Diceros bicornis minor: one gene and its partners. The protein of the gene in region 1 interacts with the protein of each later gene in a pairwise test. Links are inferred from orthologs where the notes say so. Each region holds a gene or a part of one and is shown on either strand. Other genes may lie near its edges. The genes, in order: FATE1, KASH5, AGTRAP and CCDC70.

Evidence for each region.
Region 2: the proteins of FATE1 (region 1) and KASH5 interact in binary tests that used the Homo sapiens proteins (3 or more experiments, as listed by UniProt). The two-hybrid records come from large-scale screens. The link is inferred for Diceros bicornis minor from reciprocal best matches to the Homo sapiens genes FATE1 and KASH5.
Region 3: the proteins of FATE1 (region 1) and AGTRAP interact in binary tests that used the Homo sapiens proteins (3 or more experiments, as listed by UniProt). The two-hybrid records come from large-scale screens. The link is inferred for Diceros bicornis minor from reciprocal best matches to the Homo sapiens genes FATE1 and AGTRAP.
Region 4: the proteins of FATE1 (region 1) and CCDC70 interact in binary tests that used the Homo sapiens proteins (3 or more experiments, as listed by UniProt). The two-hybrid records come from large-scale screens. The link is inferred for Diceros bicornis minor from reciprocal best matches to the Homo sapiens genes FATE1 and CCDC70.

What each region holds. Positions count from the first base shown.
Region 1 is NC_080781.1:136,029,642-136,037,312, forward strand, and holds the start of FATE1 (fetal and adult testis-expressed transcript protein), read left to right. Parts: upstream 1-4,159; coding exon 4,160-4,265; intron 4,266-5,301; coding exon 5,302-5,429; intron 5,430-7,671. UniProt on the Homo sapiens protein: Involved in the regulation of endoplasmic reticulum (ER)-mitochondria coupling. Negatively regulates the ER-mitochondria distance and Ca(2+) transfer from ER to mitochondria possibly implicating it in the regulation of apoptosis.
Region 2 is NC_080773.1:24,834,213-24,842,187, reverse strand, and holds the start of KASH5 (protein KASH5), read right to left. Parts: upstream 3,670-7,975; 5' UTR 3,656-3,669; coding exon 3,502-3,655; intron 3,116-3,501; coding exon 2,975-3,115; intron 2,365-2,974; exon of another isoform or gene 2,132-2,364; intron 1-2,131. UniProt on the Homo sapiens protein: As a component of the LINC (LInker of Nucleoskeleton and Cytoskeleton) complex, involved in the connection between the nuclear lamina and the cytoskeleton.
Region 3 is NC_080752.1:30,869,671-30,877,496, forward strand, and holds the start of AGTRAP (type-1 angiotensin II receptor-associated protein), read left to right. Parts: upstream 1-4,278; 5' UTR 4,279-4,342; coding exon 4,343-4,369; exon of another isoform or gene 4,370-4,667; intron 4,668-7,826. UniProt on the Homo sapiens protein: Appears to be a negative regulator of type-1 angiotensin II receptor-mediated signaling by regulating receptor internalization as well as mechanism of receptor desensitization such as phosphorylation.
Region 4 is NC_080748.1:25,477,678-25,483,750, forward strand, and holds CCDC70 (coiled-coil domain-containing protein 70), read right to left. Parts: upstream 1,395-6,073; coding exon 693-1,394; downstream 1-692.

The DNA of each region.
Region 1 (7,671 bases):
TCAGTACCAGCTGCTTCCAGGAGCAGGAAGGAGAATTGTTTACAGGTTTGTAAGTTTCGTTAGCAAGTGGAGGGGAAGCTCCCAGATGCCTGGAAGATCTGGGTTTGCAGCCAAAATCAGGCTTGCTCGCTTGGGCTTGGGACTGTAGCTGCCTGAGACTGGGCTCTGAGCAGAGCTTGGGGGCAGCAGACCATCGCACTCATTGGCTTTGAATGGCCTCTTCCATAGAACCCCAATATAAGAAAGCGATAAAAGCGGAACTGCTCTGGGTGAAGAGAAGCTGGAGTCTGCCCTGAAGCCCAGGTAGCCCCAGTGTACCTCCCTGAAACCATGAAACAGTTTGAAACTGGGTTTTAGCTCAATCTTCCACGTGAAGATGAGAAACTGAAGCTCAGGGCAGGGGAAGCAACTTGCGTAAGATGTCCCAGTGTCAGGGCTAGGAGTCACTCCCAGGTGTACTGACCCTGGGCCTGGGTTCCTGCCACCTCCCACTGCTGCTTGCAAGAGAGGTGGGAGCAGGTCACAGACAGGACTGTCAAACCGTAAGCTGGTCGGGAATTTGAGTCGAGTCCACAGCTGGCTGAACAGCTGGAAGAAGCCAGTGGTTTGAAGGCCTTGGTGGAGGCAGGTAGTTGGACAGGGAGAGAGACGGACAGACACAAGACAACAGCAGACAGTCAGACAGGCAGGCAACAGCCCAAGTTGGACACCTACTCTGTGGGAAGCTGGAGGCCCTCTAGATTTCAGCCCAAACTTGGGTGCAATTAACTAGGTTTGTTTGGTCCCCAGTTGAGGCTGTGTGCTCACAATCAACTTTAGGGAAAAAGATGATATGTTTTCTTTGGAGATGCTTATCTCGAAGGGAGGGAGAGCTGTCTTCCCCATCTCTTTCTGTTAATAAAACAGCTCTTATTTTAATAAATATCCAAGCCCTCCAGCAGACAGTTCACAGGAAAGAAATACAGAAGATCAATAAACGTGAAAAATTGCTCAAGTTTATTTGTAATTAAAGCAATATAAATTAAAGCAACAATGAGAGAGAGATCATTTTTCACCCAGCATAATGATGCCTTTTAGAAAGTTTCATAATATCTTCCATTGATAAAGCTGTGAAGAGATCAGCACTTTCTTCCCTTTGATGAAGTCCCACTTGGCACAGCCTCTTTAGAGGGGACATTGACAATGTCTGTCAATATTGGTCAAAATTGCCAACATACATATCCTAGAACCCCACATTTCCACTTTTAGGCACCTGCTGGACAAAAACATTTACACATGTATGCAGAGAGGCCTGTCCAGGAATGCTCACTGCTACATTGTTTATAAAAGCGAAAAGCTCTAGACACCCAAAATATCCATGAGCAGGTCCATAAACAAGGGTGCAGCTGTGCAGCAAAATACTGTGCTGTGTTTAAAAGACATGAGGTAGATTTGTTCTGACATAGCAGATCCCCAAGGCACACTGTTCACCTAAAAAAGTAAGTTGCAGAACAGCATGTACCTCAAATGTACGATCTCATTTGTGTAACACACTGCAAACATATACACACACATCTTAGCCCAATGTTCTCTGGACTCCTTCTTCCCCTTCCTAGAGGCATGTCTAACCTCCTGGGTGGGAAGCACTTCAGGCTCCCTTGTCCTCTTCTCTGGGAGCCTTCCACTTGGGTCTAGGTCTTTGCAGCCCACCACTTTCACTTGGCCATGGGCCCCCATAATGCTTGGCAGATCTTTCTGTGTCCAGGGTTCTCCAGCCCTTCCGGCCCCCGAAGTTGGCATGCCAGACAGTGGGCCCTTTTTGAAGAGTTTGAGGAGAGACTTTGGGGCAATTTCAGAAGGAAATTATAATATTGGAGGGAAAAGGTTAGCATGCTAGAGAGACATGCTAAGGGACAAGTTCAAAGTCACACAGCAAATTCTCTCTCCCACCACCCAGCCATCCTTGGTGCCCAATCCAAGAGAAACAGGCATGCTAAGGTGGTGAAATGCCCGAGTTTCTGGCTAGCATTGGGGGCATAGGGATTGGGAAGGAAGTCACCCTCTTTGCTTGACTTTAGGTGGTGGGTTCCTTTGCCAGTAGAGGGCAGTGCCTCTGCGTGTACCTGGGCCCAGTGTCCCAGTGCCCAGGAAGCCCCAACTAGTCAAGGACAGTTGGCAGTCAGTGGAGAATCTGATCTGAGATCAATAATGGAAGGTCTTGCCAGCTCTACTACCTTGAGTGCTCTCACAATTCAGCCACGATTTAGGGAGGGGATTGTTAACTCCATCGTCCAATGGGGAGACTGAGGCCCAAAGGAAGGAAAGACTTGCTCAAGGTCAAATCTTGAGATCATGGCAAGGATGGACAGGGCACAGGGTTGCCAGATAAAATACAGGACACCCAGTTAAATGTGAATGTCAGATAAACCATGAATAATTTTTTAGTGTAAGTATGTCCCAAATGTTGCACAGAGCACACTTACACTAAAATATTATTTGCTGTTTACTTGAAATTCAAATTCAATTGGTGTCCTGTGTTTTTATTTGCTCAATCTGGCAACACTAGCCTGGCAGAAAGCAATGGCTCCTGCTTCCCAGGCTCCTAACTGCCACAGAGCACACTTCTCTGCTCCTAAGGTGGCGCTCCGGAAAGCTCGGGTTTCATCGCAGCAGCTGTTGCACTGGAGCTGGGAAGGGCTTCTTTGGGGCCCTCAGGAATGCAGGCCGGGCCTATGTCAGCTCTGCTCTGAAGAGCTTGGTCCAAGTGCTGGACAGGTGGGGCCAAGGTGGGAGACAGGCAGCCCAGACCATACCACCCTCTCTAAGCAAGTCCTGGCCCCTCCCTTTCCTCTCCATCACTCTTTCCTTCCTTTCTTCCTCTTTCCCTCCCCTCTTCCTCCTCCTCCCCCTATCTTGTCCCAGCTGTGCTTGGTTCCTTTTAGAAATAGCCTCCTCTACCCCCAGGGGCTCTCGGGCTGTTCCCAAGAGCTGAGGGGTCACCTTTGGTGGTTCTATCAGTGAGGGATCTCCAGAGAAACAGAACCAATAGGATGTATGTATGTATGTATATGCATATGTATGTATGTATGTATATGCATATGCATGTACATGTACATATGTGTATGTATATAGAGATTTATTTTAAGGAATTGGCTCATGCCATTGTGGGGTTAGCAAGGCCAAAATTTTCAGTGCAGGCCAGCAGGCTGGAATCTTAGGCAAGAGTTGATGCTGCAGTCTTGACCAGAATTTCTTCTTCTTTGGCAAACCTCAGTCTTTGCTCTGAGGGCCTTCCAACTGATTAGATGAGGCCCATGCACATTGTCAAGAGTTAATAATGGCCTTTACTTAAAGTCAACTGATTGTAGGTGTTAACCACAGCTACAAAATACCTTCACAGCAATACCTAGATTAGTGTTTGATGGAATAACTGGGGTCTGTAGGCTGGCCAAGTGAACACATAAACCTGACCCTCACAGTGGCCTAATCAGTAGGGAAGCTGAGGAGGAATTTGGACTTAGACCAGGGGGTGTAGGGCCTGGGGACGCTGGGGGCTCCAGTGGCTGCATGCAGGTCTTTTCTTTCCTACCCCTCTCTCCTTTGGTTCTCATGGTTCCTGCTCAGGCTTACCAAAGGCATCAAAAGCCCATCTCCCCTTCCTGGGAACTCTGGATTTGGGGAGGCAGGCTCTGCAGAGGATGCCTTCTGAAGGGCGCTATGGCTGGGATTGGTAGCTAGGGCTCGGCTTGCAGAAGCCATGACAGGCTTCAGATCTAACCCTGCTTTGACCACTGACTGACTCTGGGGTCCTGCACCAGTCCCTGCATCTCTCTAGAAATGATGGAGGCTGGACCCCACTTGCTCCACAATGGGGCAAAATCAGGTGACCTGAAAGCCAGGGTAGTTCTCACAGGCAAAGTTTCTGAACCTTATCTCTTCTCCTAAGTTGCTTACAGAGTAGCAGGGAGAAGGCCTCGAAACCAGCCAACAAGATACAGCAGGAACAGAAGGTGCTGGGTCCAAGGCCTGAGCCCAAAGAGGGAGTCTGGCTCCACCCCCATGTCCAGATATATCTTCCTTGATCTCCTACCCCTCAAAGAGCTGATTTTCCAAGTGCCTCCTCTGTGCCCTTCTCCCTGTGCATCCTTGGCCATAGCTTATAAGTGAACAACTGGTTGTGATGGCAGGAGGCCCCCCTAGCATCAAGGAGGAGATGGAAATGTCTATGGCCGAAGAACTGGCTCCTGGAAGCCGTGGGCAAGGCCAAGAGCACCTGGTGATAGCAGGTGAGGTTCCTCTGAAATGTTCCTTCCCTTGGGTGTCTACACCTGTGCGTGTGTGTTGGAGAATGTGCATGTGTGGCCGGGCAGACGCTCATATATATGCATGTACGTATTTGCATGTATGTGTGGGTATGTGTGCATGTCTGTGCCTTGGTGTGCATATGCATGTATTTGTGCCTTGAATGACAGGGGAGCTAGGGGGAAAGGGATTGATGATGTGAGCATTTTGCACCCCTGAGGGAGTAGGATGGGACCAACGTGTGTGGTCCCTTGGTCTCCCCGTCGTCTAAGCCACCACTATGTCTATTGCAGAACATTAGGAGGGCTTAATTTATAAGATCAATCGGATCAATTCTCTCTCCTAACTCTCCGGTGCCTTCTGCCATTTAGAGTGAAATCCAAACTCCTTACCACGATCTACAGGATCCTATCAAGGTCACTCAACATATTTCATGCTGTGGCATGGTGCCCCACTCCATACTGCAGTTATGTTTGTCCTTGTGACACCCCAACACTGGTTCTTCCTCACAGCCTTTGTGCTTGCTGTTCCTTCTGCCTGGATGCTCTTTCCCTAGATTTTCCATGGATGGGCTCTGTTTCTCTTTCACATCTCTGCCTCAATGTTGTTTCCAACTTTTCTAGACGTAGCCCCTTCCTTCCGTCATCTTGCCCTATTTTTATCATTTTAGAAGCATATATCTCTTGATCTGAATCTACACTGATGGATTAGTTTCTGTTTTGCCCCCTCACTCCTCCTATACACACACACAATCAGTTCCTTGATTTCTGCAATGCTGTCTCTTAGTCATTGCTCTTTCTCCAGTAACCTAGCTCGGAGTTTTGCCCTCAGCAAATACTTGCTAAACTTTTAAACAGATGAACAAACTGAGGCCTGGGGTTGACCAGTGGACAGCAGTGAATGAGTGTTGAATGATTCCTAAGAAGTTTGGGGACCCTATCCTTTCTGGTATGTGCTGTGCCAAGGAAGCCTTGGTACAGCCTCTATGGGTGTTCTGGGGGCTTCTGTTATTTTTCCTAGAAATAATGGAGTGTGGGTCCCGGTCCCTGGGTACCTCTCAGCGGCAACAGAAGTTGGGTCCAAAGGCTGCTGGCTCTGCTACAGGCCAATTGGTTTGGAATATGACTGCCACCCAGCCCAAGAAAGGGGTACTGTATGGGGCCCTTGGCACATGGTGACTGGGTTGGTGTTGGGAGTACTGGCTGTAGGGGCTCCACTCTGACGATGGTAGGTTGAGCAGGGCCAGATGTTAACTTGGGGGGCGGAGGAAGCTTCTGTATACCAGGTAGGTAAACGAGGGCAGGGAGGTCCAGCGAGAAGTCAGGGCCATCATTTGACAGGCTGGGAGTTCAACCTTGGGAGTCCAGAATGCCTGAAGCACGTATTGCTTGGGGAGTACATATATGTACTTTACTCTGTAAAACTCTAGTGTGTGTGAAATGACACTTTCTATTAAAAATATATATATTTCTCTACATATATATCTATATTTTATATATATTTCTACATATATATAAATATAAATATATATAAGTGTATATATATATATCTCAGGGTTGGGACAAGGGTAAGGCGAGTGAGGTTCCTGTGCTCCCTGGCTGTTAGGAAATCCAATCAATTGAACCTGGCCTTTTTGTAGCCAATCCTGTAAGCTGCATTCAATGTGAGTTAGGGAATGTTCTAAAAAAAATGGCAGCTATACTGTTGCAAAGGATCCTGGGAAAAGGCAGCCATTTTGGAGAGGAGGGATACCTGACTGTTCTAGGGATTCACCTGAGTCCTGTTATTCTGTAGCCAATCCTTTAAACTACATTCACTGTGGGTGAGGGAAAGTTTTAGAAACATGGTTATTACACTGTTGCAGAGGTTACTGGGGAAGGCAACATGGTTGGGGAGGAGGGAGACCTGAATGTTCTAGGGAATAGGTTACTGTAAATGCTGAAATGATTCCACCCCCAAAGAGAAAAAGAGCTCCCAGGTCAGAGACCTCCTGGGAATTAAAATGAACCAGAAATATTGAATCAGCTTCCTGTGTCCAAAGACTGAAGCCAAATCAAGTTGCTTTAGCAAGTCAGGCTCCAGCAAGCCACCCATGCTCCTGAGACTGAGGTGGCAGGCGGTGGTGGTGGTATAATCTCTGGATTAATTAAAGTTACCTATTAAGACCAGAGGAGTACACTTTTAAAAAATAGAGTCGTTATATTAAATTTAGAAATTAAATTTAGAAATTTAGAATTAAGAAAATTATCAATTCTATTTATTTATTCATTATTTATTTTTGAGTAAAAAAATTCATGGAACTGTTATTGCCTCTGAGAGAACCACAACATGAAAGAACAAAAAAAATAATAATATTATTATGCTGATTTGAGTAAAAAAAAGTAGTGTGCCTTAAAAAGTACATGAAAATGAAAATAACACTTTTGAAGTAATTAACTGAGAGAAGCTGGAATTTGCTGCAGTTCATAGATTTTCCTAATCTCCATCAAATTTGCATAAAAGTCTTCTGTTCTACAATGTATATAATTATAAATAGAGGGTTTCTAAAATTAAAAACAAAAAAGTAACAAGACAACTGTTTTTGAACAGTTAAACCTGTCTTATGATGTGTGACCACAGTAAGTTATCATTGACTTGCAGATGTTGTTAAATTAATTCTTATCATATTGATGTGCTAAAAACAAACTATGTTATCACAAACAAACTCCAGCTGCCAGTCACTCTTCTTTATTTTGCCTTCAAACCTCTCAAAAAACTTTTTGTCCTTCAGATCTCAATCTACCTAAATCAAGGGGATGGTGTGGAAATTGTTCTAGGAGAGACTCTTGATCGACTCCCCCTTTATAGTCTTGGGGTCTTCTTGACACCCACTGTCCATTTAATGCAACTTTTTTTTTACAACTGCCATGGAAGCCAGAGCTTTATTTATTTTATTTTTTGCTGAGGAAGATTCACCCTGAGCTAACACCCACTGTCAATCTTCCTCTTTTTGTATGTGAGCCGCCACCACAGCATGGCCACTGACAGATGAGTGGTGTAGGTCCATGCCTGGGAACCGAACCTGGGCCGTGTAAATGGAGCATGCCAATCTTAACCACTAAGCCACCTGGGCTGGCCTCTTTTAATCCTGTTTTTGAGGTGTATTAAGAAGAAGAAGAGGAAAATAAAAGAGTATGATTGTGAACTACTGTTCACACAAAAAATGTCACACCCATATCTGTGTGCACTTTGGAGAAAGATCCATTTTGCATTATTACAACAAATGGAGCATGGTGGCAAGGCTGCAGATCTTTCTCAGGTGACAGATGAGCCTTGGTTTTCTATTTCTTTTTAAGATTGAGGCAAATACAAGAGCCAACCTAGAACTCTGAGCTGTGGTGAGGCCTGTCA
Region 2 (7,975 bases), on another chromosome or scaffold:
CCTGCTGTCTAATCTTTTGTGTCCAATCTGCTCAAGAGCCCAGGTAACTAATGAACGAATGCTCCTGAGATCACTCTTTCCTCCTCTCTTCCCTTGCCTCCCAGGCTCGGCTCAGAGGGGGCTGGAGGCGGGGGAGGGCAAAGAAGAGAGGATTCTGGGAGGAGCGGAGGGTGAAGGGAGGGCCCGGGAGCAGGAACAATCCAATAACTCAAGGGCAGCCTGGATCGATGCGCCGGCCGCATCTCCGGTCTCCCATCCCCCGGGAGGCCAGGTCTCTGGCCTCCCTGGATCCTCCAGGGGAGGCTGGCGTCGTCAGAGCCCACAGCCGGGGAGATGGGGTGATCTAGGCAGGGTGGGCGGTGGGGGAGTGGTTAGGAGCTGGAGCGTCACAGTCAGGCTGACAAGGGCTCGGAGCCCAGCTGCATGACTGTGGGCAAACTGCTTCTCCTTTTGGAGCCTCAGCTTCCCCACGGGTACAATGCGCAGGTAGAGTGCTGCCCCTCCCCAAGGCTGGGAGGGTTAGGTCTATGCACGTGAAGAGCCCACACATACACACAATGTGAATGTCCCGGCTCTGTCCACTGCTGGGTCCACAGCGCCTGCATATAGTAGGCACTCAATAAATGCGCCAAGATATAGGAGGAGATCCTCTACTCTAGGAGCCACTGAGACAGCCCAGCCTCTTCCCCAGGGTTGGAAGTGACCCTCGAGACTCCCCGCCCTGCCTTTGGACAGCTGGGTATAGCAGCGGGCTGAGCACGGGCTGCAGAGTCTAGCAGACCCGGGAAGCAACCCAGGCAAGGGACTCAGCCTCTCCGAGCCTGTTTCTTCGTCTGGAAAATGGGGTTGGTCTCACCTCCTTCCAAGAGAAGAAATGAGAGACAATCTGGAAAGGCCTGGGCAGAGAGACTGGTACGTGGTGGAAGCTCAATAATAGAATGGAACACGTATTCGGCATTTAATAGGTGCCATGCCTCTTCTAAGTGTTTTGCACGGACCATGGTGGCTGCTATTATTCGCCCCACTTTACAGATGAGGATACCCAGGCACAGAGAAGTTAGGAACTTGCCCAGGGTCACCTGTTCCACACGAGTGCCCTTTCTCAGCCCTCTAACTCTTCAACGGTTCTTCGTAGTGAGCTAACATTCAGTCCCCTTGGGTTTGAGCCCACGTTCCTAGGGAAGGGGAGCAGGAACCCACATCAGGGGAGACACCAGGGCCCATGCCCGGAGCTTTACGGGCACTCTCGTTTCCTCCTCTCACTGTGCTCCCCACGTTACGGAGGAGGACCCTGAGGCCCAGTGAGGTCACAGGTCCAGCAAGGTCACTCGCCCAGAGCCGCTCAGCCAAGGAGAGCCAGGTGGAGTCAACCCAGCACTGTCTGGCTCCACATCTCAGGGGCCCTGAGGATCCGCACGTGTCTACAGTCCCTTCCCAGGGCCCTCAGGAGGATGTCACTCTGCTTCTCTCCTGTTCTCTTTCCTGTACTTTCTTCCTCAGTGTCTCTACCTCACTCTGTGTGTCTCTGTCCCTGCCCTTTTCTACTTTTCTCTCGGGCTCTTTCTATACATCTTCCTTCCCATCTCTCTCTCCCCTAAGCCCCGCCTCTTGGTCTCCCTGTCCTTTGCCCCGTTTTCTTCCCTGCGTCTCCGTCTCTGTGCTTCTCTTCCCATATCTCAGTGACTCTCCATTCCCCGAACCTTCTCTCTCTTTCCTCTGCTGCCTTTCTGGCTCTCTCCCCACCTGCCTTCCTCTGTCTCCATCTCTCCTGGGTGTGTCCCTCCCTTTCCTTCAGGAGCCTCCCGAAGCTGGCTCAGCCCTTTCCCGCGGGTTCCTCGGTGGCCGCACGCCCTCTGCTGGTGGCGGCGAAGTTTAGATGTCGGTTACTCCATCAGCCTGCCCTCAGGTTCCTTCACCGAGGTGTCTACCTTCCGCCTTCCCACCTGGAAAGCCTCCTGAGGCCTTGAGGAAAGACACAGGCTCTGCTGCTGGATGCTGGGAGCCTCTAAGAAAGGGACCCTGCTGCTGCCCTGGGGTGGGAGCCTCCTCCCCCATCACATGGGGCTCTCCCACTTAGATGAATTTCAGAGAGCGCCACCCAGCGTCTTCCTCATGAAGCCGGCTGTCACACCCAGAGGGTCTGCGTCCTTCCAATCACTCAAGGACAGTAACTGAGCTCCTATTCCGTGTCAGGCATCGTTCTGGGGCAGCGTAACCAACAGGGAGGGCAGCTCCTCGCCACAGGTGCTGCTTGAGCACTTGATCTGTGGTGAGTGTGAACTGAGATGCTCTGTTCGTGTAAAGTACGCACCAGATCATGAAGACTTAGTATGAAAAAAAAGAGAATCTCTCCAACATATTTTTATACTGATGATAAGCAGAAAGGAGATGATTTGGGACATATTAAGTTAAATAAAATCTATTATTGCCACTCATTTTGCCTGTTTCTTTTAAATGTGGCTCCTAACAAAATGTAAAATGACATACATGGCTCGCCTGTTGGACACGCTGCTCTAGGGACGGGGATACCAGAGTGACTAAAATGACCCTGCCTTGTGGACCTCATGCTCCAGTGGGGGAGACAGAGACTAGACGGACAGACAAACAGATGTCGGTGCTACGAAGAGAAGTGAAGCAGGAAAGGGGAGACAGCGTGACAGGCAGCTGCTTTACAGAAAGCAGAGATCTGAAGGAAGTGAGGGGGAAGCCCGCAGGTCCCCGGGGCAGGGGGACAGCGCCTGCAAAGGCTGCTGCTCTGGCCTCCCTAGAGCAAATGCGACAAGGTGTCCAGACCGGAGGGCACATAGCAGGCACTTAATCAACGATAGCTCTCTGTCTCCCACCCTGCACCAAGGGGGAGGCTCAGCCAGCCCAAGCCACCTCTCCAAAGTCCCCGCGTCACAGCCTGGTGCCCTCTTCACCCACTACTTCCTCCTTATCCTCCCATGGGACAGACAGGGGCCCAGCCACCTACTTTCTGCAGCGGCGGGGCTGCCCGCCCGGCTCTCTGGCAGGTCCATGGGCCACTGCCTCTGCTCTGCAGCCGCTGGCGACGCTAAGAGCCTCCCTCCATCACTGGGACAGACTGACAAAGCACCGGCGGCCCCGAGAGCTCCTGCAAGGACAAACAGAGAACGGCCTCCTCAGACCAGCCACCCGAGGATGGGGACCGTGCTGCCCCTCCTGTGCCCCGGGCCACTCTGGGTTCTCAGAACCTGTTCGCCCACCCTGCCTCGACCAGAGCAGCGCCCGCTCAGACCTGTTTTATGGATTGGAGGTGTGGGCTGGGAAAATGGGGGCCCGAGGAGCGGGCGGCGGAGATCAAAGGGGGGCTACTGGGCGGGGGTCACTTGCCTCCCCTCCTCCCCACAGCTTGTTAAGCCCTCAGCCCTGCTCCCGCAGGGTGACTCTACCCTGTCCCCTCCTCTCCCTCTCTACAGCTCTGGGTCAGGCCTCCATCCCTCCCCCTCCAGTCCATCCCCACAGGGCCCCAGAGCTGACCTGTCCCTCCTTTGCTCAGTGTTCTTCTACGGCTCCCCAGCACCCGGGGGACAGAGCCTAGACCCTGGATCTGGCATTGAAGGCCCTGCACGGCCTGGCCCCACCTGTCTCTCCACTCCAAATCACACTTGCTGCTCCAGCGACTCAACTGCATGCTGTTCCCCAAAGGCTGTTCCCCCCTCTGGGTCTCTGCCTCGGACACCCTCCTCACCAGCCCTTCCTGTCTCGGCTCACATGTCCCCTCTGCTGGGACAATGTTTCTGAACAAGGTGCTGTCCCTGGGCTCCCCCACCGCCCTGGGCTACTGACATTCTTGCCAGGTCAGCCTGTATTTGGAGCTGCTGGCCTTTCACTGGAGTTTGATCCCGCTCCTTCCCTGCTCCCAGCCCACCCATGGCTCCCGAGTGCCCCCAGGACTAAGTCCCAGTCCCTCAGGCTGGCGTGGTACACAGTGGTTCCTGCAACTCCTTGCCTCTTTTTGTCACTCTTCCCTCCACTGGCCGATCTCCAGGTTGCTCACCCCCATCACGGCCATGGGAGCTTAGCATCTTCCCACGGTCCGCCCAGGCCACGCACGCACCATCCTCACCAGTGGTCCCCGCCCTGGTGACAGCTCTCCTGGGAGCCTTCCCCGAGTCCCTGGAGCAGTTAGGGCCCCTCTCCTCTGTGCCCTGACAACGCCCTGTCCTGCCTCCGTGATAATCAGCTTGACCACACGACTTGCCGTCCCACCTCCAGGACACTTGCAAGAGTGAAAGGGGCGCTATTAACAATCACACTGGACAGTGGTGCCCCTCGAAGCTGAACTGGGCACACTGGGGCAAATGGTCACAGAGGGTCACCCGGGACCTGTGTGTCCTCCCCCCACCTGCTCAGCCCCCTTTCCTCACCAAGCACTCCCCACTCCCTGCTCTCCCTGGCGCCAGACGGGGTCCACGGCCGTGGAGCGCGCACTTCTTGGTGGCTTTTAGAACGTCCTAGAAAAAGGGGTCTTTGAAAAGAGACCCTTCCAGGGTTTGGACGAGCCCAGAAAGTGCATAAGGGGGGCGATGGCCGTGGGGCCTCAGTGGGGAAGGGGCCCTGCAAGGCTGCCGACCTGCACTGGGGGCTTCTGACAGGGTTCGGGGACAGACTCCTGGCGGGGGAGCAGGGGCTGTTGGGTGATCTTGGGGGTCTCTGACGGGGAGACTTGAGCAGGAGGACCTAGGCAGGGATTCTGCGGGGAGCCTCCAGCTGGGTTTCTGGGGGTGAGGGCTGTCTCTGACTGGGTTTCTAGGGGGGTCTCTGGATTCCTGGGGGATCTCTGGGTTTCTAGGGGGGGGTGTCTGGATTCCTGGGGGATTTCTGCCTGGGTCTATGGGGGGGGTCTCTGGATTCCTAGGGATCTCTGACTGGGTTTCTAGGGAGATCTCTGGATTTCTGGGGATCTCTGACTGGGTTTCTGGGGGGGGTCTCTGGATTCCTGGGGGATCTCTGACTGGGTTTCTAGGGGTGTCTCTGGATTCCTGGGGATCTCTGGGTTTCTAGGGGGGTCTCTGGATTTCTGGGGATCTCTGACTGGGTTTCTGGGGGGGGGGTCTCTGGATTCCTCGGGGATCTCTGACTGGGTCTCTGGGGGGGGTCTCTGGATTCCTGGGGGATCTCTGACTGGGTCTCTGGGGGGGGTCTCTGGATTCCTCGGGGATCTCTGACTGGGTCTCTGGGGGGGGTCTCTGGATTCCTGGGGGATCTCTGACTGGGTCTCTAGCGGAGTCTCTGGATTCCTGGGGGATCTCTGACTGGGTTTCTGGGGGGGATCTCTGGGGATCTCTGACTGGGTTTCTAGGGGGTCTCTGGATTTCTGGGGATCTCTGACTGGGTTTCTAGAGGGGTCTCTGGGGGGTCTCTGACTGGATTTCTAGGGGGGTCTCTGGATTTCTGGGGCATCTCTGACTGGATTCCTGGGGTGTCTCTGGATTCCTGGGCAGACCTCTGACTGGATTTCTAGGGGGGGGCGTCTCTGGATTCCTGGGCAGATCTCTGACTGGATTTCTAGGGGGAGGGGCCTCTGGATTTCTGGGGGTGTCTCCAACCGGATTTGCGAGGTCTCTGATAGGTTTTTGGGAGGGGAATCCGACAGGATTTTTGGTGGGTTTGAGAAGATTTCTGGGGCTCTCTGACAGAACTTTTGGGGTCTCTGATAGGATTTGGGGAGGGAGTCTAATAGGATTTTAGGGGGGTCTCTGACAGGCTCTGAGGGAGAAGTCTGACAGAACTTCTAGAAGATTCTGAGAAGATTTCCAGGGTCATCTATAAGATTTCCTGATGGGTTCCTTTCAGTATTTCTGAGGGTATTTGGTCGGGATTTCAAGAAGAATTTTAGCTAGATTTGGAAGGCCCTGATATCGGGGACTCTCCTCTACGACTTGGGGGCTTTGCCAGGACTGCGGGCGGGGCTCTGACAGAGCTTCTCTGGGGAACCTCGCTGCAGCCAGGGCCAGGGCTCACCTGAGGCCACGTCCCAGTCTCGGGACACAAACGAGAGCGACGAACAAACAACGGCAGTTACGTGGAGAGCAGGTGCGCGTGCGCCGTTCCCGCCAGAAAAAGCAAAGAGGGCCGGGGCGGGACCGAGAGCTCGCGTGTCGCCCAAACCCCGCCCCCCCGGGTTCCTCCCCTGACGCAGGCGCACACCGGCAGAAGGCGCGCGCCGGTCTTGTCGGTTACCTGCAACAGTGAGGCTGCGCATGCGTCTGGCTGCCCGGGCGCGCTCCCAGTCTGGTGGGGCGGGCGCATGCGCGTTGGCCGAACGGGTGACTGCGGGAGAGATTATGGCTGGGAGGGAGGGGTGACGGCGACGTCTACGCTGGGGTCTTCTGTGCGGCCTCAAATTTCGGTGAAATGGGCCCAAGCAAGGGAGAGTTGGACTGAGGGACTCCTTGTCCATCCCTCCCTTCTTATCAGCCACCAAGCCGTGCCCTTTCTGCCCTCTGTTCCGTGCCAGGCTGCACGTCACCGTCACAATGATTTGCTGCCTCACCACTCCCGCGCCCTTTTGTGGCTCTAGTCACAATGTATTAACAGGTCCCCGAAAGATTCTTTCCCAAACCGTTTCATTCATTCCTTTTAGGAGAGAGTGGGGAAAAAATATTCTCAGCTTTTCTGGCTGGAGAGAGGAAGAGAATTACATCTAACATTGACTCCCAAAAAGGGGGATTTGAGACAAAAGATGTCTCACCCACTCGGCCTCTCTGCTAGCCCAGATACAGAAAAAGAATCCTTTTGCATCCTCTTGTTCATCCAGCCATCATTTATTCAGCTGTCACTTCCTCAGAGAGACCTTCCCCTGCCGCGGTGTCTACACTAGGCCTCCATCTTAGTATCCACTTAACTGTTTTTTTAGTGGTCCTCATGGCCCGTCTCACCATGTGACACTCTGTATTTGTGTACTGTCTGTCACCCTCACTGCAAGGTGAGCTATATGCAGCAGGAGACTGTTTTGGGGCTAGAACATGCCTAGTCCAGTGCGGACACACAAAAAATGAGCTGAGGGGGACGGCCCCGTTGCGTGGGGGTTAAGTGCGGGCGCTCCGCTGCTGGGCACCGGGTTCGGATCCCGGGCGCGCACCCAGCGCCACTTGTCAGGCCGTGCTGTGGCAGCATCCCATATAGAGTGGAGGAGAATGGGTACCAATGCTAGCCCGGGACCAGTCTTCCTCAGCAAAAAAAAGAGGAGGATTGGCATGGATGTTAGCTCAGGGCTGATCTTCCTCATGCGCACACACAAAAATGAGCTGAATGAATGAGTGAATGAATGGACAGAATCCATGTCTCTTAACTACTGGGCAGTATAGAGTGATGATAAGGCTGTGGGCCTGGAGTCAGACATTTGTGGGTTTGAATTTTGCCTCCATCACTTCCTAGCTGCAACCTTGCCACAATGGCTTACGCTCTCTGAGCCTCAGTTTTCCTCCCAGAAATGAAGATAATAATTGCTTCTTATGTTACCTTGAGGACTTAAGGTGGTAATCCTTGTTAATTGACAGTTATTATTTTGGCTATTAGATGGTGGCTTGTTATTAGGCCTGGGAAAGAACCTGTTTGGTGGGTGATGTGGTGAGCGGTTAAAAGCGTGAGATATGGAATCAGACAAAGGTAGTGCCATTGCTGTGTGCCCTTGGCAAGTGACTTCACCTCTCTGAACCTTAGCTTCTCTAAAATGGGGACAAATAATATCCACTTCATGGGGTCTTATGGGAGTTCAGTAAGAATGTTTACCAATGTTTGCTTAGCACAGGCTTTCAAGTGGTGGTCTCCATTAGCTTTGCTATAATTTCATTCTTTTAGTTTATTCCTGCAGTAGTTCTTGTTCCTTCCTTCCTTTTTTGAGGTCTGGGTAATTTTGTAAAACCTGAAAAAATTAAAAAAAAAATTTTATAGTATGGTTGCAACATAAGGTGCTAAATCTTAAGTTATAGCTCAGTTAGTACAGTAA
Region 3 (7,826 bases), on another chromosome or scaffold:
GTTCCATGGGGTTCCTTCACCTTCTCCACGCCCTTTCCTGCTGTCTTTGCTCACGGCAGCTGGTACTCAGCAAGAGAGAGAAGATCACATCTACAGATACAAAGAACAACCAACAGAACACCAGGGCTCTCAGCCCTCCAGACTCAGGCCAAGACACACAGCCCTGCGTGTCTGTGACAAGCTGAGCAGAAACACTGGGGAAAGGGCTCCAGACCGAATCCCAGCATTAATCCCTGTGCCACCAAGAGGCCACGGCTCTGCCTCCCAGGCCCTTCTCTGTCATACTTCTTGTGGAGGGCCGTGCTCTCTCACAGCCACAGGTGCCTTTCAGACAGTGTTTTGGTTATTTTCTCTGCCGTTTCCTCCGGTTTGATTTACCCACTCAGGAATGGAAGTGGCTGGACCACATCAGAATTGTGGGCTGTCCAGTACGCTGTGGCCCGAAGGACAGCTGGAAACCATTTCAAAGCCTTTCCCTATTCAGTGCCTCCTTCATGACTCACACAGCCCCAGAACTGATTGTCACTGTCCCCATTGTCTAGATGCAGAAAAAAATTCAGAGAGATTAAGTGCTAACCCAAGGCCACATGGTTACAAAGTGGCAGCGCTGGGGGTTGAGGTCGGGGAGGCGGCAGCACGCAGACATGCTGAGGTCCGTCTCCCCGGCTTTGCTAGTAGGAAAGGTGCATGGTGTCTTCTCTCTGTTTCGTCTGCTGCTCCAGTTCAACAGGCGTTTGTCATGGGCCAGGAGATGCTGAGAGATGCTAAAGGATGCTGCCTTCTTTCATAGGAGCAGGACAGCTATTTGCTCACTGAGCATTATGAAGTGCCAGGAGTTGTGCCAGGCATGCTGTGTAAATTATCCCACATGAGCCCCAGAAGCATCCTGAGGCTGGGCATGGCTAGATAACTTACCCCAGATCACTCTGCCGGGAGGAGGCAAGGCAGGGATGTAAAATATACCTTTATCTAAAGGACAGAAGCAACCATGAGAAAGCAATGGCTTCATCAGCCATTTGCATAATGGCTTCATAACCAAATGGCATTGACTGAATGGCTTCCAGGGCAGAGCCTGGACTACAGTGGCATCCTGAGGACAAGCAGAGTCGGGTGGCAGGTCCTCCAGGTGCCTGTGATGGGAGGAAGGGGCACACACATATTGTTCAGTTGGTCTACGTCAGTTCATTCCCTGAGCACCTGCTGTGCACCAGGCACGGGGCTGAGTGTTGAGGTCGCAAGACCCTCCCAGCGCTTGCAGTCTAGTTGCGGGGACAGACCATAAACAAGGAAACAAGTCAACTGATAGGGCAATAACATCAGATCTTGATAAGTGCTAAGAAGATGGTACAACCATCTTGGAAAACAGTTTGGCAATTTCATAAAAAGTTAAATATACACCTGCCACATGATCCAGCCATTCCACTCCCACATATTTACCCAAGTAGGTAACCATTCCCAATGAAAGAATGAATGAATGAATCTATTCCGCATGTCAGTTTCTTTGTTGAAGGTACAAAGATAAAACTTGTCTGTCCCTCATGGGTGAGGAACATGAAAAATTTAAACTTCACTTCCAAAAGTGTACTCACTGAAAACATGACCCCAAAGCCTTGTGGAGTGTGCTTTGTGGAGTCCATGTGTCCTTCCATAGTCAGGACTGGTCATGGCAGGAACTCTGGCTCCTTTGAGAACACGGATAGTTTCTCTTTCCTTTGTTCTTCTGGCCTCTCTCACCCCTCACCGCACCTCCTGCTGGGTCTGCCCCTCCCCCGTGTCTCTGGCCCCAGCTGGAGGGGATGAAGGCAGGGTCACTGTGTGAGCTGCAGGGACACTCCACACACCCAGCCCTGTGCTTCATTCAGCTCCAAGCTGTCTTCCCCTCCTTCCTCGCTCCATCCTTTGCATCTCAGGCTGCGTTTTCCTGCAATGTAGGCTTGGAGCTGAGTGGCTAAATGTCAGGGTCCCGGAGCCAGACCTCCTGGGTCCCCAGCCCACTTTCAACCCAACTAGTGGTATGCCTTTGGGGGAGCCTCTGAATTTCTCTTCACCTTAATCACCTCACTGTAAATCAAGATAAGACGAGGATCCACATCATGGGGTTTTTGTGAGCATCTATTATGAATGACTTTTCACACTGTCTGCCACAAAATAAGTACTTAATAAATGTCCCTGTAACCCCAGTTGTTTGTTTTGCATTTTCTCCTTACAAGGTAATCACAGTCTTATTACACAACTACAGACTGGAATTAAACACCTCAAGGATCTGGGGTGGATGGGGAACATTTCTTAGAAGGAATTGATAAATAGTAATATGATAATAATGTTATAATATCCACCACTTATGGAGGAATTACTCTTTTCTAGGTACTCTGCCAATAACAATAGTTAACTAATAATAAAAATAGTAGTCAATCCTGATTTAGTGCTTACTGTATACCAGGCACTGTTCTATGAGCTTTTCGTGTATGAACAAATCCTAACAACACTTCTAGGAAGATACTATTGCTATCCTCATGGTACAGATGAGAAAACTGAAGCACAGAGAGGGAAAGCGACTTGCCCAAGGTCACCCAGGACGCGGACAGAGCCAGGACTCAGATTCTTGCTGCTCTGATCTAGAGCTAGTCCTCTCTGCTCTATATCCCGAAAAACCAAACTTGATGTCGCCTCTTGGCCGGTCTCTAGAGCTCACCAGCTCTCAGTGCCAACGGCAGATGTTGCACTGCTCTGTCCCCTGGGCTGGAGGCCTGTGTCTCCAAACGGGCCATTCAATTAGGCGGGTGGGCCCTGCAACCCAGCAAAAGTCCCCTCACTCACCCAGAAAAATCCTTTCTCTGCTCCTGGAGAGCGCCCATTTGATACGCTGAGCATGTTGATGTGCTCTCAGGACCCAGCAGGCGGTCTGGCCTGTTTCCATGTGGTTTCTCCCCTCCTGGAAGGAAGAACAAGCACTCTGATGGACCCCGAGGGGACCCTCCCCCCAGGTGACTCTAAATGAAAGCTGATGTTCTCCAAATGAACGTTTTCTCTGGTTATGGGTGAAGGATGGGGTGGGGAGGAGGATGGAGGTAGTGGGAATTACAGTTCCTTTTTGGGGGTGGAGGGTAGTCAACAGTGTTTGAGAGACATCCCAGGTGAGACAGCCCTTTCCTTCCCCAATTCCCTCCATTCACAGCCGAGGGGCAGACAGTGCGTTGACAGAAGCTTTTTCTTCTCCAATCTTCCTTCTTCTGGACACAGTGTGTCCCATAGCTTTTCTGCTCATTCTTCAGCTAGATTTGTTCTAAAGCTTCTGGTATATTAACTCATGTGGGCTCCAACCAGTTGGTCCTTGCGTCTTGATAACGACAATATCTTATGTGTGTTCCCCACTTCCTGAGTGCCAGGCGCTGTTCTGGGCACTTCACCTTGACAAAGACTCTCTCCTTGACCCAACCTTAGTAGGCCCCTCTGAGCGCTCTTCTCCACTAGGCCTAAACCTTGGCCTTCTCTGACCCTCCTGTCCTTGCTGTGTATGCATAGCCCAGTTTTAGCAAGAATCTTGCTGAGTCAGCTTAGCGAGAATCCCCCTACTCTTGAGATCTGATCAAGCTCCTCATCCCCCAACTTGGATGTCTAAGCCCGGGGTCTGCCTTTAGCAAGAATCCTGTTAGGTCAGTTTAGCAAGAATTCCCCTTGCCTTGATGTCTCCTCTTAGCAATTGTCCATCCACTGACCCCTCACGCTGCCGCTCGGCTAGAAATCCCCACTTGTGCTTGCTGTCTCCCCGGAGCTGAACTTGACGTCTCTCCCGTCTTGTAAAATCCCAATTGCAATAGTCTTGAATAAAGTTTTCCTTACGTATTAACAAGTGTCAGAATGATTTTTTCTTTAACAGCGTGAATTAGTTCCTTTATCCTCACAAGGATCCTATGAGGTAGGTATTGTAAATGTCTCCACTCGAACACACGGAAGGAGAGAGGCCCTAAGGGATGAGACTTCAGCTGTTGCCGCATCCGCAGTTTGCACCTGGACATTCCCCTCAGATTTCCCGGACACAGCTGGTCCCATCAGTCCACCTGCTGAGATATTAACCTACCAAGATATTGCCCCGTTGCAACATAAATCCTGATGATTCTCCAAGCGCGCCCGGGAACTGCCTGGGCTGGAGAAAGGCGCCAGAAGCCCGACGCCGTCTCCTAGCAACCGGGCCTGGGTCACGTGATCCGCTTCACGTGGTCTGGAGCCAGACTGGGGTTAGAGCTGCCGCGGCGGGCGGGGCGGGGCCGGCAAGTTTCTTTCCCGAGTTCGGAGCCCAGGAGTCCCCGAGGCTGTGGCGCAGGTGCCCTCCGCCTTGGTCGGGATGGAGCTGCCCGCGGTGAACTTGAAGGTGGCGACGGGTGGGGCGGGGCGGGCGCGGGGCGGGTCTCCTGGCGTCTGTTGGGCGTTTGCTCTTTTAAAGAAGAATTTTAGAGGTGAGAGGACCGAGGGTTTGGGGAAGAGCGGTGGTAGGGAGATAGGAAATGTACAGACCCCAAGTGAGAAGGAGGCGGGCAGACAGACCATAACAGGGAGAGAGATCCAGGAAAAGGCCAGCTGGGAAGACCGAGAGGGAACTGGAGGCGGTAGGGGACCGAGAGGGCCGCGCCTTCCCAGGTCAGACCCCGCCAGCTGGGAGCGCCCGGCCCCTGAGGATCGCTTTGGCCTGTGCGCCCATAAGTCCCCTGGAGAAAGAGGAAGGCGCTGGGGGTGAAGCGTTGAGGGGGAGGCACTGAGAGCCGGAGGTGGGGCTTGGAGGCGGCCACCTCCCCTCCACGGAGAGAGAGGTCACCTGAACGCGCAGCACCGCCCCAGGAGCCTCCTTTGTTTGCTGAATCTGGTTAAGAAAATCAGATGTTCCCAGACAGGTGGTTTTCCAAAGTTTATAGATCTCGCGTCCTTATTTTCTAAGAAACACGAGCCCCATGGAAGTTACTTAAAAGCAGAAAACCCCAACTTTGTGCACTTGGGACGGCACCGCGGGGCTTCCTGAGATGTCTTCATTTCCTGAGCCGATTTCTCAGCTGTCAATATGCCAGAGGCTGTTCTTCTTTTTCTCCCCGGCCACCCCCAGCCGGCTGTGCCTCCCTGCTCTGTGTGGACAGAGGGACTGAGGCCTTGAGCTTTGGCCAAGAAGGTGTGAACCTTGGACCACAGCTGCCATTTTGGGTCTCAGTGCAGGCTCTTTCCAGACTATGTCCAGGAATGTCCTTTTACTCAGGAGTGACAAAGCATTTAGCACCCATGGTGTCAGGTGCGAAAGGAAACTAAGAGAGATGACTACAAAACAATGCATCATCCATATTTGGATGATTAGACGCTGGGCTGTGACTTCACGTGGCAGATTTCCTTAATCATACTGGCTCCGGCAAACCGCCCCGAAGCTTCCAGTCAACAGCTGGGTTGGACATTTAGCTGGGAAGAAATTTATGTGAGGGCAACTGAAGTTTGTTATTAATACTCACTGTGTTCCAGGCAGTGTGGGGTTAATGCGACTGCCGTTTCTCTCATTAGAGATTTGCCTAAAATAATTGCTAAGAGGGGGTCAGGTGAGGGACAGAGCTGCAGGAATTGAGAGGGCGGAGGGCTCTCACTCATGGGGCATCTGTGGTGTGCCAGGTTATTTATTTCATGACAACAGCTTTCTCAGAAAGCTGATATTGTCATCTTTTTAGAGATGAGCAGACTTCAGCTCAGATCAAGTCAGTAACTTGCCAAGGTCCCACAGGGATTGAGTGGCAGAGTCAGGATTTGAACCCACCAGGGTCAGACTTCCAAGCCGTGTCCTCTCCTGGCCACCAGTTAGTTGGGCTGACTTCTGCCTCCACAATTTATGTCCAGTGGGAGGGCTTAGTCTGTTTTGAGCCACTTGATGGGCCTTCACGGCCACAGGTGTGAGCTGTGCTGGCTTCCGGTGCCCAGGATAAAATGACTGGTCCTTCCCTTGACTTGGGAAACAAGACTCCATGTCTCCAAGGGTCTTAGCTGCTCCCAGTCAGAGACAAGTAAGTACTGGGAGGCCCTGAGGGGCTAGGGTTGCCAGGTAACATGCAGGACATCCCGTTGAATTTGAATTGCAGGTCAACAAGGAATAATTTTTAAGTATAAGTATATCGCAGGCAATATTTGAGACATACTAACAAATTATTCATTATCTGAAATTCCAAATAAACTGGGTGTTCTGTATTTTTGTTGTTGTTAAATCTGGCCACCCTAGGAGGGCAGCTGTTGCCTCCTTGCTCAGAGGCAGGTGAGTGGAATGTTCTGAGATCAAAGCCCCTCCGGAACTGGGGAAAGGCACCCTGTGGCCCTGGGCTCCCTCCCACTCCCTCATTTCATACATTTCTTGGGCATTGGCTGAATGCCTACTTGTGCCCAGCCCAGCCAGAGTGGGCAGTGGTGCCAAGTGAGAAGAAACAGCTGCCCCAGGCCCTTTGCACAAAGGGCAGTCCCTAACTGAGCCCCATCCATGAGCCAAGTCCTGAGCTGCAGGAATAACACTGTGACAAGCTTTGAAAGGACTAGCCTTGGGTTCATGAGGTCTGGTGAGAAAAGGCCCTTGGGAGGAGGGTCCAGGGGGTAATGGAGCATTAGAATTAAGAACTAGGGACACCAGCTTCATAATCGTAGTGATGAGGACGGCGCATCAGGGCTACCTACCTGGCAGGCACGCTGTCAAGTGTTGCATACCCCTGTGCACCTCCCTGTGCCGTCGGATCCACAGCGACCCTATGAAACAAGCACCATTGTCCCTACTTTACAGAAGAGCAGGCAGCATTCTGAGAGGTCAGGCGACTTGCCGAAGGTCACACAGCTTCTGCATCATGGAGCCAGGCTCAGATCCGTGTATTTGGCTCCAGTGCCCACGCAGTCAGCCACTGCCTGAATCTGCGTCCCCTCTATGGCATTCCTGACTGGTGTCCCTTAGCCTCTGCCACCCTCGGGGACCTCACTACCTCATGTAGCAGGTCACCGAGTGTTTGCACAGGACCGGTAGGAGTATATTCTGTGTGCTGATCTGTCTGTTAACCTTAGGTCTGTCCACACCTGTCTGGGAAGGGCCCCCCATCCCCCATGGGCCCTCAGGGCTGGACAAAGGGTCTAAGGCCTGGTCCACGTAACCCTTTGGTTTCCCCTCCTCCAGGTTAAACTTCCTCGTTCCCATCCACCCTCCCCTTGCTCTTCCAAATCCTCACAGTGTAGCACAGAGGGCAGAGCACGGGCCTTGGGGCCAGACAGACCTGCGTTCAAGGCCAGGCTTTGCTACTTATTAGCTGTGTGCCCTTGAGCAGGTTTCTTTGCCTCTCTGAGGATCAGTTTTCTCACTGTAAGAAGAGGCTAAAAATAGGCCCTGCCCTCTAGGGTGATAAGAGGAGGATCCAGTGGTCCAGGGGGCAGTGTGGCATTACATTTTTATTAGCGTAAAATCTCTGGCCAGACAGACTGAGTCTGAGATACGCATCTGGGATCTCTTGTTTATAAGCATTACGATTTGGGCCCATTTACTTAATCTTTCATGTCGTCAGTTTCTTCAGAAGTAAAACAGGATAAATACTCTACCCCGTACAGCTGCAAGGATGTGGGCCCAGTCTTCAGGGCAGTGTAGACACGTGGCAGGCAGATCCTCATCGGGGGCAGGAGCTGCTGCTGATGCTGTTACAGGATGCCTGTCCCCTCAAGGACTTGTGGTTATGAAGCGAGTACCCACGGTGACCGTCAGAGGGCGGTCTCTCTGCGGTCAGGCGCCCCCGTGGGACGTGTGGGTGATGAGTACCACCTCCATTTCAGAGAAGCCACCGGGGCTCAGA
Region 4 (6,073 bases), on another chromosome or scaffold:
CCATCACCAGGGAAAGGCAGTGCTTTTGTGGGCCGAGCTCTGGAGCTTCAGCCTAATGCCATGCCCCTTTCTCTTGCTACAGAGAATGGGCACTTGAGAAGTTTCCTAGAAACCGGAACTACAGGCAAGTGGACCATTAGGGGATTCTGCCTGTGTGTTCTAAATGGCCTAGCAGGTCAGGAAGAATTGTTAACAGCACGGTAGCCTTTTCACTGCAGAAAGCGTCAGCCCACTCTAGGCCTCCAAGACTGCCTAGAGTGGAGCAGAAATGATTGCCCCACAGTGTGACAGAGGCAGAGAGGTCTCAGCACTTCTCTATCCCGATGTGTCTCTAGCTGGCATTGTCTGAGCCTCTCTTCTACTCCGTTCTGACTCTTTTAAGGAGAGCCACAGTCTCTATTCAAAAACACCTAAACATGCCAGGCTTATGGTGAACTGCCTGAGACCAAGATCTACAGATAGAAATACAGCCTGGAGGATGGGAATACGACCTTGGAGAATCACAAAGCCTGGGAAAAATGTATCTGGCCTTCCTTGAAGAAGAGGCTTTCCAAACCTCTCCTCAGGACTTTATTAGATCTTTTGAAGCAAAGAGACAAATAAGTGCATATTTTCTCCAGCACATGAGGTCACCCTGGACTTGAATTCCAATCCAACAGAGTCTGGACCCCATGGCCCTTCATCTCCTGGGCTCATGCCCTGCCTCGGAAGAAGGCTGGCGATCGTGGCTCTCCATTGATGTTGTAGTGCCTGTCTTCAGGTATCTGCTCCTCAGCAATATAGCCCCCACCTTCTACCCAGAATGCTTTCTCCTCCTCCCAGAGGGCATTCTCTTCCTCCCAGAGGGACTTTTTGTCCTCCCACAGGCCCTTCTCCTCATCAAGAAGAGCTCTTTCCTCTACCCACAGGGCCTTTTCTTCCTCCCACAGGGCCTTGTCTTCCTGAAGAAGTTTCCGGTCTCTTTCCCATAAGGCATTGTCCTCTTTCCAGAAGGCCTTATCCTCCTTCCAAAAAGTGCGATACTTTTTCCAAAAGGTTTTCTCTTCTTCCCGGAAAGATTTTTCCATTTCCCAGAAGGCTTTTTCCTCTTTCCAGAAGGTTTTCTCGTCTTCCCAGAAAGGTCTCTCCTCTTCCCAAAAGCCCAAGATCTGGCTCCGGAAAGCATGGATTTTGTCCTGGAAATTCCACATCTCTTCCCTGAAGTCTTCTATTTTCTCACGGAAAATTTTCATCTCTTCCCTAAAAGCCTTTTCTTCCTGAAGCTTGTGGATTAGTTTCTTCTGGCGAATGTTGGGCGAAAAGATGGCTGGTGACCGGAAGCAAATGAGCCCCATCCATTTGCTTACCTTGAAGGAAAACATCTTCCTAGTCAGCCAGAATGGTGGGGTGGCCATGATGGAGCACAGGGCCCTTGGCCAGGTCCAGGTCAGCTGGTCAAACCCTGTGGGGACACCAGAAAGAACATGTTCATGAGTATCATACGCCAGAGGACAAGCTCTTGGGTCTGTACCATTGGATTTGGGAAAGTTTAACCACCGTTCTCTTTGTCTCGTTGGTGGTGTGTGTGAAGAACAAGCTTTGGTAGAGAAACATGCTAGGTGGTCGTGGTTTTGGGCTGAAGAGGCAGTCAATACATTCAAGCTCAAGCCTGTTAAATCATAGAATCTCAGCCAACAAGGACAGTGGATCTCAACTAGGGTATCAAAACACATGAGTGTGACACGATCACTTAAGGGGTGTGTCACAAACAATTCTGTTTTGCTTTTAAATAAGAAAGTACCACAGCCCCCAAAAGATTTACTTTGTTAAATCAACCAGATTCCATTTAAAGTATTTTTTTTTAATTTTATTTATTTATTTATTTTCCCCCCAAAGCCCCACTAGATAGTTGTATGTCATAGTTGCACATCCTTCTAGTTGCTGTATGTGGGACGCGGCCTCAGCGTGGCCAGAGAAGCGGTGCGTCAGTGCGCGCCCAGGATCCGAACCCGGGCTGCCAGCAGTGGAGCGCACGCACTTAACCGCTAAGCCATGGAGCTGGCCCAACCAGATTCCATTTAAACTTTGGCATTCTCACTTGGGGAATTGCTTATAACTTTCTTATGGACATGCTGACAGCAGGGTGCCCACACATGTGACTGTCCTCTATTATAACCCATCTGGGAAACAGAGAGTGAGAGCCACTGAGCTAGGGGAGACTGTTGCAGTAGAAGAGTCTATTTTGGGAACAGAGGTTTAAAATAAGAAGGTGACAGACAACGCCAAATGTTGGCAAGGGTGTGGAAAAGAGGAACTCTCACGCAATATCGAGTAATATTGAACAATAGTGAAGACACTTTACAACCCAGCAGCTCCGCTTCCAGATATGTACCCTGAGGCAACTCATGAATTGTGACCAGGATACATGTACAAGGATCGTCAAGGAGCTCTGTTCAGAAGAGCTCAACACTGCAAATGATCCCTCTGCAAATGATCCAATGACCATCAGAATAGAATGGAATTAAAAAATGGTGGTATACTCAAGCAATAGATAGCATTGCGATGTGCAACAATGTGGGTGAATTTTATAAACGTAACGTCGAAAGAAAGAAGCAGGATCAAAGAACTTCAAAGAATAAATTTCCCAAACAGGCAAAACTAAACTCTATTGTTTAGAAAAATATACTTAGGTGATAACACAAAAAAAAGAGAAGTAAAGAAGTGAGTCTCATAAGTCAAGATAGTGGTTACTTGTGTGGGGAACGTGATGGGGAGGTGAGATACTAGTGGTTGTGATTAGGTGAGGATATGAGAGGGTCTTCTGAGGGGCTAGCAGGATTCTATTTCTTTACTTGGGAGGTGGTTACATGTGTGTTCATTATAAAAATATGCTAAGCTATACACGTATATTTTATGTACTCCAGTAAATGCATTATATTTCACAGTAACATAAAAGCTAGGGAGAAAGGAAGAAAGAAAGAAGAAAAAACAAAGAAGGAAGGAAAGGAGGGAGGGAGGAAGGAACGAACGAAGGAAGGAAGGAATGAAAGAAGGAAGGAAGGAAGAAAGGAAGGAAGGAAAAGTGGAAGGAAAAGACAAGAGAGAAAGAGAAAGAGAGGTCTTCAAACATTGCCGTATAGCTGAGGTATCAGATATCAGAACTAACCACAAAAATTTCAGTAACTACAATGGTGGCTCAAGGGATGAGAAGACGGGATGGATATGGGAAGGTGGTTAGAGTGCAGGGAAGACAAGGGGTACACACACATGGTAAGGGCATTGATTTCGATTCTGAGTGTTCTGGAAGCAGCTGCCAGGGTCTGGCCTCACTCAATGGGCCTTGCCAACCACCAGACTGTGGAGCAACATGAGCTCTTCAGGAGATTTCCAGGCTTTCTCCTTCTTTTTCCACTGTGTGGCTTGGGAGCAAGAAGTGGGGGAGAAGGAAGGACACAGAGTGTGTGCATGGTGAAGAGGTGGTGGCTACGCTGTGGGCAGCTGGTGACATCATCATCCACCCAGTCACACAAACCAGAAAGCTGGGGCTCATCCTTTACTTCTTCCTCTCTCTCATCAGACTTTTAATCAATCATCAAGCTCTCCCATTTAAGATCTTTAATATTTCTTGAAACCATGCCCCCTGCTCCATCTCCTTGACCACAGCCAGTTCAGGCTAAGATGCCTGTAGCAGCCTAACTGGTCTCTCTGGTATTGATCTTACCCTCCCATCTGCCCCTACATTGTAGCCCCAGGGGTGTTTCTAAAACACTGTCTCGTCACATCACACCTGCTCACAAACCTTCAAAGACCTCATAGCCCAAAGATCAAATCCAAACACCTTAGTGAGGCCCTCTGCAACCCAACTCCTGCTTGTCTCTCCCTTTACTTTCCCCTTCAGTCTCCACTCAACTCCAAAGCTAAGTTTCAGTAATAATGAGCTACATTCAGTTCTCTGGACACCACTTGCAGTTTCCTGTCTCTATGCCAAGGCATACGCTGTGTCCTCTACTGAGATTACCTTTTCCTCCCATTGTGGGCTTGAATTCCTGTTCATCCCTTCCTCTCTGAAAGCTACTCAGACCCTCCAGGCAAGGTTCATCACCACCTCCTCGATGCTAATTGTCTCTACCCTCCCTTGGTTACTTGTCATGCTTGATAGAAATTAGTTGTGGACTAATTGCTGTGCATATAGGAGGTAATTGATAAAATTGTTGGTTGAATGGAACTGAATTTCATTGAAATTTGAAACTGTCATATTCTATGTTGTATTATGGTTATTTGTCTTATTCCTACTATTTTTGCAACTGCTACTATCTTTTTAAATAATTTTATTTATTTATTTTTTTCCCCAAAGCCCCAGTAGATAGTTGTATGTCATAGCTGCACGTCCTTCTAGTTGCTGCATGTGGGACGCAGCCTCAGCATGGCCGGAGAAGCAGTGAGTCGGTGCGCGCCTGGGATCCGAACCCGGGCTGCCAGCAGCGGAGCGTGCGCACTTAACCGCTAAGCCACGGGGCTGGCCCAGCAACTGCTACTATCTTGAGGTGAGAGAAAGGGCCTCATTATTGAAGTCCCCACGTTTCTTTCTTTCTGCCATGAGAACACATAGCAGGCCTTCAACAAGCGTTTGTGGAATTGGATTAGGTAACTCTTCATGAGGAAAGACTCAGGGTCAACTAGAGTTGCAAGATAGCTGTCAAAAACAATCAATTTTCCAACAATGAGATCAGTAATAACAATTGCTACCTGTACATTTATTCAGCACTTTTCTGCTGGGCATTTAACCTGCGTTATCTGTTTAATCCTTTCAACCACACTAAGATAGGTATCTTGATTAATTCCATATTATAACTGAGAAAACCAAGGCTTAAATAAGTTAAAAACCTGTTGAAACAGTTAAGTAGGTGAGTCAATATTCCGCTGGAAGCCAAAGGTCATGTTTATAAGTGCATTATGTGGTCAAGCACATTGTAAACACTATCAGGCTGATATTTTCACTATGAAGGGGTGTGTGTGTGTGCATTTGTATCAAGCACTGGACCTACCGATAACAATGCATTTAGCAACTTGGTCACTAATTTTAAATAAAACATTCTCTCCTCGTACAACCCTACTGCCGAAGGTAAATATATAGACGCTCACACTAAAAAGCAAATTAAAAAACACTGAATGTTATCACTAAAGAAAATAATTCTTTTTTTTTTTTTTTTTGCTGGAGAAGATTCTCCCTGATCTAACTCCCTGCCAATCTTCCTCTACTTTTTTTGTATGTGGGTCCCCACATACAAAATGATGAGTGGTGTAGGTCTGCCCTGGGACTGGACCCCGTGAACCTGGGCCACCAAAGCACAGCGCGCCAAGCTTAACCACTATGCCACGGGGCTGGCCCCAATAACTCTATTTTTCAACAAGCAAAATAAGATTTACAAAAGTCCGTTTTCATGTGTGAGACCTGTCTGTCCTGAATTTGCAAAGGAAAAGTTTGTGCAGGTTCTGTCCACTGGACATATCCCAAGACCAAAAGTGACCATCTTCCCACTTATACTAAAGCTATATTTCTTACTCCATGAGCAGTGTTTGCACTAACTAGAGAACTCGCTGAAACCGTTTAATAAATCCCTTTTTCCTTTTGGCCACAGATGCCATCTCTCACCCAATTCTACATTTCACACTGTCTGGTTTATCCCAAGCCATTATTTCCAGGATCTCTTTGGGCCGCACACTTCCTGCAGGTCTAGCACCAGTTGTTGCTATTAGTGGGCTTCCTTTTGGGGCTGCTCCTCACAAAGACACAGAGCCTGTCTGCATCCATGATGAGGAGAAGAGAACCAAAAAGCCGAGCGGAGAAGTCAATTCAGGGTAGATGGCTCAGTCCATGGAGTCATTTGAGAACAGAAAAAACTACAAATTTTAGGTCAGCGAGCACTAAGAGTTAACCACACATATTTTCCCCCCTGAATCTAACTCTCCACTTGGGCAGCAGTGGGAGAAACCTGCTTATGACACTTGTTGAATAAGCGTGTTATGGAAATACAAGTATTATAAGTCAAGTATTCAGGGACTCCCCTTGTTCTCAGTGGATCTGGGTTCCTAC